Caenorhabditis elegans: one gene and its partners. The protein of the gene in region 3 interacts with the protein of the main gene of each other region in a biochemical or structural test. Each region holds a gene or a part of one and is shown on either strand. Other genes may lie near its edges.

Evidence for each region.
Region 1: the proteins of dmsr-1 (region 3) and flp-32 interact in a test that uses a peptide from one of them, tested with the Caenorhabditis elegans proteins (one large-scale study listed by BioGRID).
Region 2: the proteins of dmsr-1 (region 3) and flp-33 interact in a test that uses a peptide from one of them, tested with the Caenorhabditis elegans proteins (one large-scale study listed by BioGRID).
Region 4: the proteins of dmsr-1 (region 3) and flp-19 interact in a test that uses a peptide from one of them, tested with the Caenorhabditis elegans proteins (one large-scale study listed by BioGRID).

What each region holds. Positions count from the first base shown.
Region 1 is NC_003284.9:15,431,543-15,435,909, reverse strand, and holds flp-32 (FMRF-Like Peptide), read right to left. Parts: upstream 2,124-4,367; 5' UTR 2,113-2,123; coding exon 2,042-2,112; intron 1,886-2,041; exon of another isoform or gene 1,689-1,885; intron 1,385-1,688; coding exon 1,296-1,384; intron 1,193-1,295; coding exon 1,107-1,192; 3' UTR 938-1,106; downstream 1-937. Other genes in the region: mocs-1 (Molybdenum cofactor sulfurase), read left to right, coding at 137-226.
Region 2 is NC_003279.8:12,623,734-12,628,084, reverse strand, and holds flp-33 (FMRF-Like Peptide), read left to right. Parts: upstream 1-2,846; 5' UTR 2,847-2,860; coding exon 2,861-3,015; intron 3,016-3,550; coding exon 3,551-3,656; 3' UTR 3,657-3,851; downstream 3,852-4,351. Other genes in the region: T07D10.3 (C2H2-type domain-containing protein), read left to right, coding at 1-118, 180-338, 603-689, 738-836, 877-1,029, 1,170-1,343; ntr-1 (G-protein coupled receptors family 1 profile domain-containing protein), read right to left, coding at 3,895-3,985.
Region 3 is NC_003283.11:11,436,684-11,442,558, reverse strand, and holds dmsr-1 (G-protein coupled receptor dmsr-1), read right to left. Parts: upstream 3,790-5,875; 5' UTR 3,742-3,789; coding exon 3,671-3,741; intron 3,392-3,670; coding exon 3,075-3,391; intron 3,024-3,074; coding exon 2,764-3,023; intron 2,469-2,763; coding exon 2,001-2,468; intron 1,620-2,000; coding exon 1,434-1,619; intron 1,373-1,433; coding exon 1,142-1,372; 3' UTR 995-1,141; downstream 1-994. Other genes in the region: F57B7.2 (SCP domain-containing protein), read left to right, coding at 170-423. UniProt on the Caenorhabditis elegans protein: G-protein coupled receptor.
Region 4 is NC_003284.9:10,602,334-10,606,820, reverse strand, and holds flp-19 (WANQVRF-amide), read right to left. Parts: upstream 2,136-4,487; 5' UTR 1,996-2,135; coding exon 1,938-1,995; intron 1,772-1,937; coding exon 1,659-1,771; intron 1,349-1,658; coding exon 1,250-1,348; 3' UTR 990-1,249; downstream 1-989. Other genes in the region: Tyrosine-protein kinase abl-1, read left to right, coding at 1-99, 154-237, 484-622. UniProt on the Caenorhabditis elegans protein: FMRFamides and FMRFamide-like peptides are neuropeptides. WANQVRF-amide inhibits the activity of dissected pharyngeal myogenic muscle system.

The DNA of each region.
Region 1 (4,367 bases), on a different chromosome or scaffold from region 3:
TGAGACAACGCGTAGATCAAATTATGATAGGGTCAAAGTCACAAGAGCCTAGTACCATAGTATAAAGAAGATCATCTAGTCGAACAACAGAACTCTGTAGAGATTGCGAATTTTGGATAAACAGAAAAAGTTTCAGATGACATTTGGAATCTACATTCGACAAACTAATTTTGAGAGTGGACAATATTTGGAGTCTGGGATGTCTGTTAACTTTTCCACTGATTAGTAAATAAATGTTTCCAATCAAATTACTTACAAACTTGAGCATTCAAATTCGATGTTTTGTCTTTTACGTAGTGCCATAAGTCGGAACTAACTATGAACATAGTGACGTCATTTTCATATTAAATTGATGTATGATTTTACATTTTACAACCAAATAACTAAAAATTGGCAGAAAGGAGCACAATAGGGAATATCACAAAAAAATGTGTGTAGGTTAATAGAAAAAAAAAACAGGAAAAACTATTCCAAAGAAATCAGAGTAAACGACAAAACAAAATAAAAATTGAAATGACAACGTTAACTAGACTAAATAACTGGAAACTAGCAAATTCAGAGTATTTTCTGAAACTTGAAGAAGATAGATAAAATCAACTTGAAATAAATCCGAAAACATTGACGAACAATTGTTTCCAAAAATGAGGGTTCAGGTGGTAGTGGTGTATCTTTAGTTCGAGTCCGACCAGGCTTTTGTTCAAAAATAGGGCTGGAATATTGGGCGTCCGCTCGTCCGGATTTTAGAACTTTGAAAATTTTCCGAGGGGTAGGTTTTTAACGGCGGCCGACAATTTCCGAGTTTGGTTACTCACTATACCTAATCATAGAATTTTCTAATGAGTGGTTAAACTCGGAAATTGTCGGCCGCTTGGAAAATTTTGACTTTTTTTATTAATTAGAACTATAAAAGTTTTGACAAACATTAATTAGATACAACTTCACATGAATACTTTTATTAACAATATCTTGAATGAAGAAATTGAAAAAAAAAACACACACACAAATGCTTGAAAATGAGAGAAGACGATTGAGGACGACGGTTGGTGTGGTTAGCTTTTTGGAGTTGATCACTAGACGAAAATATTCCCTCCCTAAAGCATTGGCTTTCAGTAGAGCAGGACTGATGATGGCCCCCGGTTTGACATGCGCTCCGGAACATATTCATACGGGTCAGCAGATCCGTATGACTCTCCTGAAATAAAATGTTTACTCAATAAGTGAAATTGAATTTTAAATTTTTTGACGTCGCTGACTTGATCGGCGAGCAGTAGTGTTGATAAATGCTCAAAACTTACCTAGAAAAACATCGTCGGTGCCAACTGGATCGGCTCGTTTCCCAAACCGCACCAACGAGTTGCGCATCGCCTTTTTCGCCGGTCTCATGCTGAAAAAGAAACTCTTTGTACCCCCCCACTGGGGACGTATTTATTTTTTCTTTAAGTTCTCCAGAGACCATTTTATAAATGACTACTACTATTAAATCTACACGTTCTTGTTTATAGGCTATAAATATATTCCTTTTTCGAGTCAATCAGGTTGATTTGATTCTAGTTTTGCTCTCCTCAAGTACGCACGTTGCTCATAAACTATAGATGCCAGAGACCTTGATTTATTGCCGGTTTTATCTTCACATAGATTTTTAATTTTTTTTTTCTTTCAAGATTTCTTAACAAAACATTATATCAAACAAGTATTCAAAGAAACACAAAAGCTAAAAGTTGTGAGTTGTAATGTCAGTAATCATTCAAACTTCTCAACGCTTTTGTCTTTTGCAAATCGGCATTGAACTCCCTGGGTAGTTAAGTGACTACTGGAAAATTCAAAATTTTGAAATTTTTCAAACTTTGCTGTAGCTAAGAAAGCTTGGGAAATATAGTGGTACATAGGTGTTCGGTTATGCTAAATAGCCATGACGCGGATTTTGCTTGATGCAAAAAGAATCATAATTAAAACGACATCGTGCCCACGCTAGCAATCCTATTTATAATAATTTATTTCGAAAAAAAAGTTTCCTTGCTTAATGCCTATCACTTCCACTCACCTTGGCATGGCTTCCACGAAGACGATGGAGCAGAGGAGAGCGAGGATAAGGGTTTGCACAAAGGAGAGCATGTCGTAAGAATGAAGGCTTCGTGGGGCGTGGCACTCACTCGGCGAGCTGCTTTCAGATTCCCATTGCCCAACCCGAAGACCCCTCCCACTTTAGCTGCCACTGGCACATGTGTCATCCGCACTGTTTTTGTCGTGCTTTCGTAGGGATGACAGTGTGTGTTTAGTACTGGGAGGGTTACTTACCAAAATGACACTTCCATAATTGAGCCAGAGAACGGAACGATATAATCGAATAACAAATGAAGCAGCAATCGCATTACATTTCGAAAACCTGAATTTGAACACGTAATTTCTTTCCAAAAAGTGATGTCGGAGTCTCCGGCTCGGAGGATGAGCCCGACTTTTTCCGGGTTTTAGATGGGATAAGCTGTCGAGAACAGAATATTACTAATTGCGGCGCGGGACGAAGAAGCCGAAGCCGATCAAAAATCTGAACGTGAACAAAGGAGAAACTCCTCATTCTTGGTGTGTGGTTGAGTACCTAACCCTATCTACTAACCAAAAAGTTAATGTTTTACCAAAGAACCACACAGACCAACGTTTCTTTGTCTTGGCAATGTTCGTCGACGCCGCCAACTCACACCCCACTCATACATTTTCAACAGTGTCAGCGCAAAAAAAAGACGAATCTTTCTCTTTTTCACTTCTCACTTATTCTTTTGTTCCATTGTTCCGATAATTTAAAGACAAAATGACGAGGTAGGAACAACGAATTGCCGATAGTTGGAAACGGGGGAACTTTGTGTGCAACAAGACAATTGTGGAGCACATTTCAGGTGTATACTTGTTGGGAGGTATTCGATGAATTTTCTGCAAGGTAAACAACATTATTTTAAGAGCACTTAAGTGTTATAAGCTTCTGTAATGTTCTCGATCGGTTCAGAGTCCACACGAAAAATAATGCTTTGAATTTCGAAGTAGTATGTGAAAAGGAAATTATAGTGAATAAAATAAAATAGGTGATCTTCAAAAATGGTCACGAAAGTTACCTAGGTCTAAGCATTGCTTGGCACGTCCAACAAACTTTCATTCAAACATTCTTGTTTGCTGATCTAAACTGCTGAAATTTGTCGAACATCCTTACGATGGATAAATTTTTTCAACCGGTTTTGGCCTCCATGAGTTACTGTGAGCAAGTCAAAAAAATAAATAATTACTAAATGTTTGAAAAAGTCCCACAGGCGTACTCAATTTTTAAAATATACTTACGGCCTTGCATTGTAATATTTTCCGTAAATGCAATTTTACTACAGATTGGATAAGTCTAATTATTCAATTTTGGAAACCAGCAAAATTGGTCTAAAACTGAAATGCAAAATCTTTTTAAAAACTTGAACTCTGTGATGCGCCTCGGACTTATAGTTTGTGTTCTTTCAAGCGCTCAAAAATTGGAAGAAAACAACAACCGTTCCAATTTTATTTCCGTAGAATTTTATGATCAGGAACAAAAAAGCACAACAAAATTGAGAAATACTCGCATTCCATTCCAACATTTATTAAATTATGAAATTATTTGAAAAAATAAATTAAGTAAGTGAAGAACGCCTGACAAACAGTGAACTTTTCGCAAAAAAGAATATCATTTGTGTTCCAAAAACCAGAAGCTTGCAGGCAAAAAAATCCTAGATTCTCTCAAGAGCACATAACCAAGGTTAGAGGATTTCTATACATATTTGATAAAAGCAAACAAAAACATGAATCATCTCAGTGATTTTTCCAAGTTCTGGGTAGGTTCAAAAAGTAATGAGAATTTTCAATTTGCGGTTTTACCAAAATCATAGGGGTTTATTCATTTAGGAATAATTTTATATGAATATTTATTGGTATAAGACGTTTGATCGAGCCTTAAATGTTTTGACAATCATTTGGAAGAAGACTATATTTTTGCGTTAATCTTCTTGATTAAAAAAAACCACCATGAGAACAGCTTATGGGAGTAGTTCATTTTGGAACGATAGTTCTTATATATTGGGGGGGGGGGGGGGGAATATGTTTTATTATTACGATTTTTAAATTAGAAAACCGACAAAAAAATCTGTTATTAGGGTCAAAAATATCAATTGAAATATACTATTGCATGCACTACTACTAATTAGAAAAATTCGGTATCTTGTTGGGAAACCCGCTATTTGTGAGAATGTAACTATGGGAAAATATATAGGGTAGAATGTATATTTACGGGTTCTCCTTGCAAGCATTAAAACCTCATTCTCATGATTGTTTTGCCATGTTCTTTGCTTTTTCATGTTACTTTG
Region 2 (4,351 bases), on a different chromosome or scaffold from region 3:
CTGCCAACTATTTTGCTGTGGAGTACGGTTTTCAGACTATAAGACTGCTTTGGAGCATTTACAAGGAACTGGATCTGTTGAAACAGAAGCTTGGGATCAGCAGAAACATTTTTTGAAGGTTGGGAAATTTTTATTTAGAAAAAATAAATCAAGGAAAAAATTTTTGCTCCAAATTTCAGCCAGTTTACATCTGCAACTGTTGCAATCGTACTTGGTCGTCACGTAACGAGTACGTGGCACATTTACACGGCCGGGATCATATGTGCCCGGATCCGGTGTGCAAGTACATTTTTGAAACTAATGAGAAGTGTATCCGACACTTTTTTGAGCAGCATTATGTGAGTTTTCATTGGGAATTTGTATTTTAAAATTTGGAAAAGCTGGGAATCTGAAAAATTTAAAGCTTTTTAGCCTGAAAATTTTCTGAAGAAACTTGTTAGGAAATAAGTTTTCGTGAGACCCAAAATTTTCTCAGAATTCTTGTTTGAAAAGTTTCAAACTTCCATAACTCATCTAATTTGTAAGCTTTTTTCTAGTTTTTTTTTGACTCAAAATACTCCAAAAAATTCAATTTATTTTATTTTTAAAAATCAAGTTTTCAGAAACACCTATTCCTAGACTCCAGGCACCTACTTCTCAACTACAAGTACTTTTTGCGCTACCAGGAGAAGCAGGAGGAACGAGCATATGTTGGGCTCTTTTTTCAGAGTTTTTCCTTTATTTTTGTTAAATTTCAGGGCTTATATGTGTGTACCACATGTCAACGCCGATTTCGGGACAACAAGGGGTTTCAGAGCCACGTGGCAAGCCAGAATTGTGAATTTTTTGATAGAAAGGTTGGTTTTTTTCCAATTTTTTCCAATTTTTTTCCTTCAGTTTTTTGTACAAGTGATTGCTTGCAAATGTGGTCACCAATTCAAGTATTGCTATTACCAACGTGACGTGCTTTTACGAAACCTGCCAGTTTTACGTGAAGCCATGGAGCATGTGGAGCGAGAGGCTCCGTTCAATAATATGCCCGAAGATGTGGTGGGTATTTGGGTAGAAAATGGTCTAAAAATTATTAAAATTTTATTAAAGTACCATTTTTGGTTAAAAAAATAAAAAGGGTTCTAGTCCCCACTGAAGCAATTTTTTTGTTTTTTTTTCCTAAATATTCAAAATTTCAGTGCAATATCTACCGATCCATAATTGTGGTGATCATTGATGTGAATCAACGTCTTATCAACGAGAAATTCACAAATTATCAGCGAACAAGCCCACTGAAACATTCCTCGTTTACGCCACGACAGATGGCCAAGCTCTTATTGGAAGTAGTGGACTACTTTTGGAAGATTATGTAGGAAGTTGATAAACTTGCTTGTTTTAATGATATTTATACCTTTTCAACTACATAAAGACCATAACTATACACTTTTAGGGCTTGAACCATATTCAATCCAGTTATCCTAATTTTACTCCGGCCAAGTAAAAGTTCACATTTTAAATTTTCCAGAAAAACTGCCAAAAACCCAACTTGCGTGACAAGCTTCTGCTTAACTTTTTGCACAAAAAACCTATAAGGAACTTTCAGATCGCGTGACACTTGAATCCGGCGGTGTGGCCGGAACATCTAGTTAAATTACCTGAAACTTGCATTAAACTTCTAGGCTCCTGATCGCGTGACAATCAGAGCCGGTCATGTTACCAGAACCGAGTCACTGCACGATATGCCCCATTAATACTAGATCGACGTTACGAATGGCTGGAGGGGTACATAGAACTAAGATTCTTAGCAAAATTACCTGTATATTATAAGAAGACCCGGCGGAACTACAAAAATGTGATCATCAGATTTAATCAGATTTAGTTGTGTGTACTCTCAAACATGCGAAATTAGTTGAAAAGTCCGCCGCATCTGAACTCCCGCCATTCTCGTAGACCACATTTCTATGGACCACACTGGCGTGTTTAGTGTGTCTGCTAAATCAAGCTGGATTGACTCTGAAGTTCCGAGTTCGATCAGACTGGCATGCTCTTTTGCACAAAAATCCATTGCCAAAAGTCTCAATTTTAAGATTTTCAGATCGCGTGACACTCCGATCCGGTAAAGCAACCGGGACTTGGATCTAGCCGAAAGAAGGTCTGGAAGTGCCTGTTCCACCAAAATTAAAGTTACATATTCCGAGAAAAAATCAAATTACACTGGAAAACTTAATGGGTTTCCCATATTGCGTGACACAACGATTGAATGATATCATCTAGGTGTGATACCGGCCGATCCACGTGATTAAGGAATAATGGGTTCTTAGTAAAGTGAACAGATCGCGTGACAGTTTGATCCGGTCCGGTCACCGGAATAGGAATCGAAAATCTGGCCTACACAAATATTGAAATGATATCACTTGGCCATGGTACCGGAACCAAACCAATGTCACAACTGAAATAGACTCCATACGACCTTCCAGAATTACCAAACAGGAACTTCGTCATCATGGCATTGTCATCATCATCCTCCTCCATTATTTGTAGCATTATACTTGCTTCCACCCGAAAACAACTGCCCATCAAAGAGCTCATGAACAATTACCTTCTCTCTCTCTCTTGACTTGTCACCCGTCTTGATTGAGATTTGTTACATTCTTGGAGAAGACGGAGAGGGACCACGCCTTCTAATTGTTTCCTGCGTGTTTGGTTTTGGAGCACATATAGGTAAGCTGAATAGTATAAAAGCTGTGCAGCCAGCAGAAAGTCAATCGAGTTCCGAGCTTTTTGGGGGTTTCGTTGAGCTTTTTAGAGTTCCGAGCCTAGATTAAGTTTCGTTGGGCTTTTTCACTGTTTCACCCAAAAAAAAAATAAAAACTTCCAGGGTCCCCCTACCATGCGTTTTCTTATTCTCATCGTCGCAATTGTGTTGCTGTCAGCCGTGCATGGCTTCTCGGTAGAGCCACGTCTTGCCGCGTTTGCCGATGGTGGAGCCGCAGAGCTGGCACAGGAAGCTCGTCAAGCTCGCAACGCCGAGCTGGAATTTATCAAGTGAGTTGGGAACTAGATCTTGGAGATTTCGATGTATAAATATGACTTGCTGAATGAGTCGCGTTGCCCTAACTATAATGTTTTTTTAAACTTATTTGGCTTAGGCGTAAGCTTAGGCTTAGGCTTATGCTTAGGCTTAGGCTTATGCTTAGGCTTAGGTTTTGGCTTAGGCTTAGATTTAGGCTCAGGCTTAGACCAAGATTTAGGCTTAGGCTTAGGCTCAGGCCCAGGCTTAGACCTAGGATCAAGGGTGTCAATGTCCCGTAAAAATTACAAAAACGGGACATCGGGACGTCCCGTTCCCGTGAAAACACCCAAAAAACGGGACAACGGGGCAAACGGAACACGGGACTTGACACCCTTGCCTAGGATTAGGCTCAGGCTTAGGCTTAGGCTCAGGCTTGGGCCTAAGCTTAGGTTCAGGCTTAGGCCTAGGCTTAGGCTTAGGCTCCTGATCTCTTCACTATCTCTTCGCTCTAGTGAGTAGGCTCCTTTTCAACAGTCCTCGTTCCCTCTCTCAAAGCCTAATTTTCAGACGATTCCTCCCAGCCAAGGAACGTCGTGCCCCGCTGGAAGGCTTCGAGGACATGTCAGGATTCCTGCGCACCATTGACGGAATCCAAAAGCCACGTTTTGGTTAAACCTGATGCTCAGCTCAATCTGAAATTTGAAATTCTCACAATTTGTTCTCTCTCTCTTTCTCTCTCTTCCTCTGTGTCTGTCGTTTTCTCTGTTCCCTTCTTTCCTTCTCTGTCCTCTTCCCTTGACATCGGTGCGGCCCCGACACTCTTCGTATGCAAAATTAAAGCCAAAAATAAACGATGAGCATTGACAAATATGTTTTATTGATATGGGTGAGAAAAATAAATAGTTGATAAATTAATCAGAACGATTGGATTCCGAGTTCACAGCCATCTCCATAGTAAACTCTGTCGGAGCATGATCCTCTTCGGCTCCACCGCCGGGTCGACTGGAATTTCAGCATTTTCTTTTTGCACAACAATTTCCAGAATCAAAGAAAGAACAAAACCACGTGTAAACAAGAAAGGTATAATAAAGTGTATCGGAAGTGCGTATTGACATGTCACCGGGCATCAAAATACAATTGTCGGGGAGACCAGAATAGCTATTGTTTGCGGGAGGAAATTGATGTCGGATGGGGAAGGGGAGATCTAGGTCAAGTTTCGGCTGGAGCCCTGCCAAGTTTTGACCAAAGGGGCTCAGGCTCAGGTACTCTAAGGCGTTTTGACAACATTTTTTTTATTGAAACCTTGAATTTTGGAACGATTTCAAGCCTTTCTAGGCATATTTGAATTAGAATGTAGTACAGTTTCAC
Region 3 (5,875 bases):
CTAACAAATAAACAAAATATTATTCAAAAATTCGCATAATTCTTGCTGTCCCAAAGGCTGCCAACTTCCCATTCAAAACATAATCAACTAAAAAATAATATTTAGACAAGAACTAAAATCTTAGCTTACTCTTGGTCCGAGTCAATTTCATAAGTGTCTCTAATTTCAGAATGTCAACGATTTTCACAAGTTGTTTGGAAAGATACAACAGAACTTGGCGCTGCACGGTATTGGAACACAGCAAATAATTGTGTAGCTGTTGTCTGCTTTTATCGTCCAGCGGGAAATTCAAATGCACCCGGAGAATTTGCTTCAAATGTTCCATCCAGAGATTGTTCAATGTCACCAATTCGAAACTTGGGAACTCAACTAAAACGCCACGTCACGATCTCAACACCAGAAAGAGCTGTTGTTTCCAAGTAGCTACTAGTTTATTTTTTTCAATTTGTGTAGCCAGAAACCGAAAAAGAACATTCCGAAACGGGTTGTGCGTTTTCTTCTACTTTTCTCCCCCACTTGATGCTTTCATTATAGTCAGCTTTTCTGTTTTTTTCTCTTTCATTTCGGCACCCGGTAACTTTGTCGGTTAATTGATCTCTAGCTATTACTTTCCATTGACAAATAAAAGATTGCTATGCCGAAACATTTTTACAAGTTGGAAGATTATCCTTTTTAAGTAAGTGTTTTAATTACACGGTGACATACGACTGTCATGTTTGCCATCAATATTTTTGTGATGGCATGATAAAAAATTCATTTAAACCAGAAAAATGCTTATGAAAATCAATCTATGTCTACCTACTATGGGAGCTAGTTTGAAGTTCTCCGAGGATACAATATTCCCAATTCTGCAATTTTCATTCATAAAAGGTTGTCATATACATAAATCAATAACCTCAATATGCAAATTGAAAGAATTTTAATTTCTGAACAATTACTTTATTTTTTTTTTCAATTCTGAAAAGTTTAAAGATTTAAAAAAAAAGTATGTTACTAATAAAAAACAAGATTCATTAATAGGACACGCTTAAGAAGAAATCAACGTAATCAGAAAATTGAAATAGAAACCCGTGAATATGGTAAATACTAATGGTTTTGTTCTGACACGTGTTGCAATTTGTGTGTTTAAAAAATTCTGATATCAAATGTTTTGAAAGTGTCCACGAATTCCATCAGCACTGGCTGTTGAGTTGGGTCCTGAGCTGTTAAGTAGATGTGATGTCTCATCAGTGGATTCATCTTCTCCACTTCGAATCGGTGGAAGTGGGGATGATGGAAATGATGTTGGCATTGGAGAACATGGAGTAATTGAATCACATCCAGTCATTCTCGTTATTTCCGTACTGTTTCTTCGTACCTGGATTCCGACCATCTGAAAATTAACATGGCTTATTCAAAAGTTTTGTAGAAAAAACATGTGTTGATATTCTTACTTTAACACTTGCTGACCTTGTATCTTCCGAATAAGTGCCATTTCCATTCATTCCATTTCCGTTTTTCTCGTTTGGTTTTAGAAAAGTCATTTTTGTGGTACTGTAGGCGTCGGATGGACGACGAATCGACGGCGATGACATTCGGAGACATCTCACCTTTGCAGGTACAAAGACACGGTGGAATTCCTAAAAATTTTATGATTTTTCTATATTGAAAATGAACCAATTTTTATTTATAGAAATCAAATGAAAATGCTTGTTCCCTGTGTTAAAATGAACTAAACACACATTCATAAAATGAGCAAAGTATGTACTTCCATGATTTTTCTTGTAAAAACAACTCCGCAATTGTCGGAAAATGTAGAGATCTTAAGCGCATTTTAAGACGCTGCCGAACATCATGTTAGTAAGAAAACAAAGAAAAAAAAGACAAATTCGCTTGGAAAGTTCCACCGAATGTTGAGAAAGTTTGTAGTATTTTCTAACAGCATACAACACATTTTTCATTGAGGTATTTTGAAAAGATGTCGCTCATTGAAATTTTTTTCAAGTAATATCAAAACTTACATTTCTGAACTGTCCACTCATTGAGCAGTAAATGATGAATGAACAACATGAACCGCAAAGTGAGAACAAATCGAGAATGTCTCCCAGATTGTTATAAATGTAAATTCGGAATTCTTCAGAACACATTCCAGACAAGACAGCCATAATTCCTTGAGGTAATTCAGTCACTAGCATAACTGCTACAATTGCCAATAACATATGAGTTGTCCGATCGACACGTTCTCCTCTCCCCCGTAAGCTTCCATTTCTGCCTAATTTCTCGTTGCCTGCAACTGAAATGCTCAGTCTTTGTCCGTTTCGAGTAGTCGTTTGATTCGGTGGTCGATGTTGCGAGTTCTTGAGAAGACGTTGACGATTCTCACGCACTTCACGAAGAATTCGTAAAAGGAGCCAAACAAACAACGATAGAAGCGCACATGGTAATACTTTGAATACCATACCGGATATCCAATAAGATAACCGGAAGACCTGCAGGAAATTAGGAAATTGGTTTTTGCTAGGGTGACGATCACGATGATAAATATTATTTTGTATAATTTTCATGATATCATATGTACATATGATCGATCAATTATTTCCAAAAAGGTTTATATAAATCCAAAGCTTCAAAGTTATATTATGATGATCTTGCCAAAATTTTTAGTTTATAAATCTAAGTTCCAATAAAAAAGTTTTTCGAGAAATTTTGTTTGTATACAATTTGTCAAACATTATTTTTTAACAAAAATCTTGTTTTTTTTTTACTGAAATTCAAAAATCTTACCAGACAGCTGTTTGCTTTTGCAATGTCTGCAATTCCAGGAAGATACGCGGGCGAATTCCAGAACATTGGATCCAAATCGGTACACGTTTCATTCAATGGCTGTTCATTGATTTTGTAATTCAGAAAATTCGGTGCATTAAGCACTGCTACAAGGGATACAGTAACAGCAACGGCATAATAAGAATGCCTTAACGTCACTTGCATACCACCCATATTTCCCCTACTTCGAAGTGTTACATATCGAACAAGTGCAAGCATAACTGCAATAAAATCGAAGAGTTGGACAGTTGTCTTCAGAATGAAAAGCTTACCTGACAACCAAACACTTGAAGAATGTGCAACTAATGAAAGATGAGCATGAGCAATTAAAAATAACGCCCAAGAGTAGGACCAATGTTTCGGATGACAAAACTTGAAAGCGACAAATGAGTAATGTGTTGTGTATATTAAATTTGAAAATAACACAACTGTATCACAAGATGCCATTGCTGTCAAAATCATATTAACTGGCGTTCGCATTGTTCGTCTCGTTAGTACGACGATGTTACAGAAATTAGCGATTGTACCCAACACGCATAGAAATATTGATAAGTAGGCATGTATAGGATGGTAGAAATTATATACACTTCTGAAAAAAAAACGTTTAATTTCACTTTTTTCCACTTTTGCTCTTGAAATATTTATTAATGGCTCTCTTTTTTATGGTCATCACTTTTGAGGACACAATAATTTAAGATAAGATAACCTTCTTCAATAACTTGGTTTTATTCGCTATTTTTAGGGATGATTTCTACAAATAATAGGATAACTTTTAATGATGATAAACTGTACTTTTTGAAAATACGTCAAATACAACAGTACTGGGCAATTATTTGAAAGATTTTTGAGACACAAAAGTAAAACTTACACAAAAACATCGTATAAAAAACTTTTATCGGGCAGATGAATAAATGTAGTTTTGCATTCGGTAAACTCCATTTTGTTTGCTGTTCCTCTGTTCTATTGTTTCTGATTCTATTTGAACATCTGAAAAAAAACAACAATTTATTAATATTGAAACGTTGAAAATGAGGAAAACAAGCGTTCAAATGAAAAACGGCTCCGATTCGGAAAACCGGAAAACGTCATTAGAAATGAGAGATGACTATGAAAAAAATGACAAAAGGGACAAAGATTTGGCAACACATTGCTCATTCACTTTTTAAAACAAAAACACTCAAATAATAGGGTGAGTGTGTTTTTTTGGAACAAAAAAACTAACAAAAATATACTGCAAGCTTTTGCTCAAAAATCTAAGATAAACACCAATTATTGCCAATTAGGGAGATCTTGCAGATAAAACTTCCTTAAAGAAATCATTATTCAGAAATTGAAGGAGTTGCAAAATCAGAAAATATAAAAATAAAAATAGCACAGGAAGTTTAATGATTTTTTTACTGGGAAAATTAAGAGTACAATTGAAAAAAGAGAGCCAAAAAGTTTTGAATGAACTTCAGAAGGAATAATTTGCATAAACTGAACAAGATTAATACATTCAAAAGTACACAAATTTTCGGAAAAATTGATATGCACTATACCAAATTCATATTCACATTCGTTTTTTGATTAATTTTTTTGCCGCTACACAATTTCGGCAATTGAGCATGTATTCGATTACAAAGAAAATGTCACAAATTCCAGGCACTTGGAAAAATAAATTGATAATTATTTCTTTTTCTATCACTTGGAAGAAGAGTTGTTTTTAAATGCCCGCTATTTCAGAGAGACATCACGTCATTAAAAACCATAAACGTTACGCATTTTGAAAAATAGAAAATTCAAAAACCTAAATGGATATCTCAACAGCTTTTTGTCACTATTTCACTGTCTCTTCACTTCAAAACACACACATATATATATATATATATATATATATATATATATATATATATGTGCAATATCCGTATCTACTTCCAACCGCTATTCGATCACTAAAAGAAACTCAAAACAAGCCTCGCTTCCTAGTCCTTCCGTTCGCCGCCATGATGGGCCCAGTATCTAAGCATGGGCGGAATTTGTTGCTTTTTTACTCAAAAAAAAGAACCTTTTTTATGTTGAGCACGGACAGATAAACGCAGAGCGGGGTGCAACGCATCTCTCCCCGACAAAAAATAACATCAGAATATAACCAAATTTCGGTCAGCGCTCGGAAGTGTGTGAGGCGGCCTAGCGCGCTCCAACTCTAATTACAGAGCGGATAAGGTTTGGATAGATATTTCCAAAGTTAGTCATGTGTTGATCCGTGACCACATGTCAGGTGAGCACCCATTTCCGGAGTCACTTCAGGAAAAAAACTCATTGAGCTGACTCTCGTGCCAGAGGAATTTTTCGCACTTATCATTAAAGAAAACGACAAAAGTTTATGCTGAAAATGAAAATATTTGCCGGAATTCGGTTTGAAGTTACGATAAAAAAGTAAAAGGTACAAGATCAAACTCCACTGGCAAACATATCCCAAGTATTGAAAATTTTAAGCATAATTACTTTTGAGTTAGGGGAAGGAAAATGATGGAAGTCCGGTTAGGTCGGATTTTCCTATATTGCTTGTTAAATCATTTTTGTGTATTAAATTGTATTGAAAAATAGCTGAAAAATAAGGATTATTATAACTTCTCTTATTTTACTTTTTAAAATTATTTTTTGTGACGTCGAACTTTAAAATGCAACGCCAAAAGTTTCCACAATGCAATCAAATCCTTTATACTTAAAACATCAAAATCCAACAACATGTAAACATATTTACAGAACAGAAAATTCTAAAAATATTACAAACTTGTAAACAAGTTGATAGTTGAGAAGACCTATCAAGAAGTATGATACGAGTGAGAGTACAAAAAGTACCCACAAGAAGTATCAAACTCGGAGAAAAAGATGGAAGGTACGGGGCCAAATAAAAAAACCGACGGATGTTGAGACCGAGAAAAATGCAAATTCTGAAGCTAACCGAATTTGTGACAGTGGATGGGCTCTTTGCCTAACTTAAACGAAACTTCATGTGACCTTACGAATGACGCAACTATTTCTGCACATAAAAAGGTGACAGAAGAAGAAGCCGTAGGATAAACTGACCAAA
Region 4 (4,487 bases), on a different chromosome or scaffold from region 3:
GATTGTATCGTTGCTCAAAGTAATCCAAAAGGAATTTGTGAATCTTTTCAATTTGGCGAGCTCAGAGATCACTGATGAAAAACTACAACAATTTGTAATGTAAGAAATAATTCGAGCCACGATTTTTGGATACAAAAATCGAGAATGTTTCAGAATGGCTGATAATGTACAAAAACTTCATTCCACGTGTTCCGTCTATGCAGAACAAATCTCACCGCATAGTAAATTTCGGTTCAAGTAAGTTACGGGAAAAAAGGCTGATCAGCAAAATTTTCACTATCTGGTAAACCATTAATGTTTTTTGAATTCAAATTATTTAGAACGCATATAAAAGAGAATATGTTTTGATCTTTTTTTTCACTTTTTATTCTGACCTAAAATTGTAGCATTGAAACTGATGATTTGAAAAACACTAAAAACGAATTCACAAACTATTATGGAAACTTCTTTGCCAACTTTGAATGTTTCACATTTCAATTTCAGAGAACTTCTTTCTCAACTTGAAATCTACAATCGACAAATTAAATTTTCCCACAACCCTCGAGCGAAGCCAGTTGATGACAAACTTAAAATGGCGTTCCAGGACTGTTTCGACCAAATCATGAGGCTGGTGGATCGCTGATTCTTTTTTCTATTTTATCATGTTTGTTTCTTCCAAAACACCATAATATCTTTTCCGATTCCTTTTTTATTTTGAATCTGCAGCTGAAACATCAAGTAGGTACTACTGAATAAAACGTGTAGTTTGTCTTCCATCTACCATTTCTGATGAGATTATTCGTCTTCTTCAATTTTTTTTTTTCCTGTCATTATTTTTCATTGCACACTGAGTGCAACTAAACGGTGTACCGTCTTCTTTCCTTTTATCATTAATTTTTGACTGTTATGTGAACCTTTCTCACTTTTTCTGTTTTTCTTTTCATGTTCACTCTAGTCCTGCATAATTGTTAATATGCATCATATTATGAAATAAAATGCTTTCATCGATGTTTAACAAGTCGCAAACTTTATTGCTAAATTTTTGACAATACAAAGAATAATGGAATCGAATTGAGTAATGAGAATAAAAGCGAGTTAATCCAAAAGTGACAGAATTTGTATAGACGGAGAAGGTAAAACGTATATAAAAGGACAGGATGGACAGAAAGAAGGAAGGTGTGCTGATTGTCGTCTGAAGTCTGATTTGATGTGCGCAATTTGTTTGAGGTGTATTGAACCATGTCTGACCGTCAAAATTGTGCAAAGCCGGTTATCCGAACCTGACTGAGCTGGCCCAAGATGCCCTCTTACCGAACCTCACTTGATTCGCCCATCTCTTTTCCATGCTCTTGAGAGAAGGGTCCGACTGCTGCAAGAAATTGAATTGAACTTGTATTCCTTTCTACTTTTTGAATTCAAAATTCTATTTTTGAAACATGAAAAGGACTAAATGCAATCATATTTCACATTCTCCGAGTTTTCTTTCCGTCCCCAAATGCTTATTTATGTACCTCAAAGGAATTCTAGAAAAAATGATGCATAGACGTGAAGTGGATCAGAAAAAAAACTCATTATTTTTTGCATCAAGGATGAGACTACGGTGATACCTAATCCCATAACGAGATGAACAAACACACAAAATTAGTTGGGTTTTTGTTCCGCTCTGGCCCATGGCTCACCTCAAGATAGTCGTACAATGCCGAATCGTCGTTGAACGCCTCCATATTCAACGGTGAGTTGTCCTGAACGGCTTGCATTTTCAAATCACCATTTTGTGACTGAATTGGTTGCCCTGAAATACCTATTCATTGACTATTCTTCTGCTAGAACAGTCTAGACTCTAACACGTTTACAATGTTCTGTTGAGAGATATAGGCTTAGATTTGTGATATTAATAAATGAAAACAAAATTGAAATTGAACAAGACAAAGATAATTGTTAATAAAAAATAAACTCACCGACGACTACGGCAATTAACAGGAAAAGCATGGAAAACAGCGTTAGCTGGAAGGACATGTCGGTGCAATGAATGAAGCAGTGGTGGGCGTGTCCTCCTTGAGGCACGTTGAGAGCACTCGCGGGTTTTGTGGACGTGGCTTGTCAAAGACTAAGAAGCGATATCTACAAGGAATTCAAGAGTTTTCTATAGTAAGAATGAGAGACGACGCGACAAACCGGTGAAATGTGGGTGGAGCACTATGGAATATAGTGCTAATGAACCAAAAGTGAGAAGGATGGGAATGGGAGGAATGTCACCGCTACTTTTTAAGATGTGCAGCCTAGAAGTTTTTCCAGTATTTCGAGCCCGGAAAATAAGAAAGTGATGATATTTGAAGATATCCGGAAGCACGAAAGTTGAGGTGTGGGTTGCTTTCTCAAACCTACTTTATAATTCAAGGTAGACTTTTTTTTAGTTTCTCTTAGTTTAGATTTGAGATCTGAAATGTGGTTTTCCGGATATAAAAGAACAAGAAAAGAAAAATTGAAGTTTAATGCGTTTGTTTCAGTTCTCGACTTAGTTAAAAATAAAGAACGTTTGAGAAAACTTGTTATGATAGTTGTTCCAATTTTGCTGGCCAATTTCAAAAAATTGAATTTTGGAGATGTTATAAATTACTTTCCATTATTTCATGCGGTACAATGTTCTTGTTCTTAGCAATTCTACATACGGTCTAGACGCTTAATAACGGATTTGGTGATTTTTGGCATTTTTCTCAGTTAGTCACTGAACAGGTACCATGATAATTCTATATTATTTTGTGTTCAGTCTATGTTACCGCAGGGAATTCAAAGAAATGAAGTAGTTGTTACAAAACGGTTTGATAAGGTGTAGTTAATAAAACTTGAAAATTGTTAATACTTCTGAAAGCGAAAATTAAAAACAGTGTAACACTATTTTTAATTTAAATAATCCGCTTAGATATCAATAGAGACGCTGTAAAAATAAAACTTCATTTGTGAGCGGAAGTCTCATCAACGCTTGCGCTTGCAGGAAAGGAGCAAAAAATTAAACAGATTTCATTTAAATTTTAATTTGTTGCTGTTTTCAACCCATATCTCGCAGAGAGCTTCATGAATTTTAATGCTAAATTCTGTGTTGTGCCACAGAAATTTTTTATTCTAAAAAGTTAAAACACACCATACATGTGTTTCTTTTCCAGAATAGCATTTTCGAAAACGATTAGAATTTCAAATTTTAAATTCTCACTTCCTGAGGCGGGCTACCATGGAGCCAAAAAATCACTTCTATGGCGACGCTATGATTTTTCTATTGACGTCATTGAAAGCATTTTCATCAGAAGAGAAAGTTAAATTGTACTCAATCATAGAGAACTCGGCTGGGAAAACTCTACTACCATTGTAGTCATAATCTTCTGTCAGAACTTGTTATACATGACTAATGAATCATAAATCTCGTTTCAAATAATCAATCTCAGCTCTTGTTTTCCGATCTATCAAACTAAAACAATGAAAATAGACAATACACTGTATAAGTGTCATAAATCAAGATGCACATCCAAGTTATTTATGAACAAGGTTGAGTTAAATAAGAACAGTTTTTCGGAGGAATTGTTGGTCTGTATTTAAAAACGTTTACATTTACCTCGACTTTATCTGTTTTTATGATGATAATAATTTGTACATCACACTGTTTGTTGATGAGTTACATATAAAATATATCCAGTGCTTACGTGGAATATTATTATATTTTAAGTTGAAACATCTTTCATTTATTCTATCAGTTAACAGCAAACGATCAGGGATAAATAAGTGATAACATGTGGTTTCCGTTTTTTTCCCACGATGACATCAGTTTCAATTCCGATTTTAGTTTTAGGTTCTAAAGTTCTGACTTCGGGATTTGATAATCAAATTTGATGACGCAAAAGCATTTGAAAAACACAAAATTTGAGAAAAAACAAATTTCTTGATTTCAGTACAATTTGATTACAGTGAATGTGTTTTTTTTCCAAAACCACGTTTTGACTAGAGCCAACTTTTATAAACAATTTTCACTTGAAATAATGTATGGAGCAAATTCAAAAAATACATAACATAGTTTAAAGCATACAAGGTAACAATTATTTCGAGTTTATGAAAATACACGTCATTGATGGAATTAACCAAGCAAACATACGCGAATCAAAAAAATAGTTCCGAAATTAGCCGAGTTGTTGTGGAAGTAATCTTTGGGAAATTTAAAACCTCCGTTCCCATGAAGTTAAACTCGATTCTGAGAAATTAACTAGACCCAAAAATTTTTTTTCAATCGTGTGACCACTATAATTCTTTCATGTAGTTTTGTTATAACAAATATCTAGATTGCGATCTTGTGGAAAAAAAATACAATTGCTCTCTTGCCATTATATTAAGTTTGTAAAATCAAATATTTGAAGAGTAATATGAGCAGAATCCGATTTTTATTAGAAAATTATTTTTGATTAGTACCGTAATGGGATTGTGTTTTTACTAGAACTGTTTGTGTAACGCATTTTTAATGATTCTTT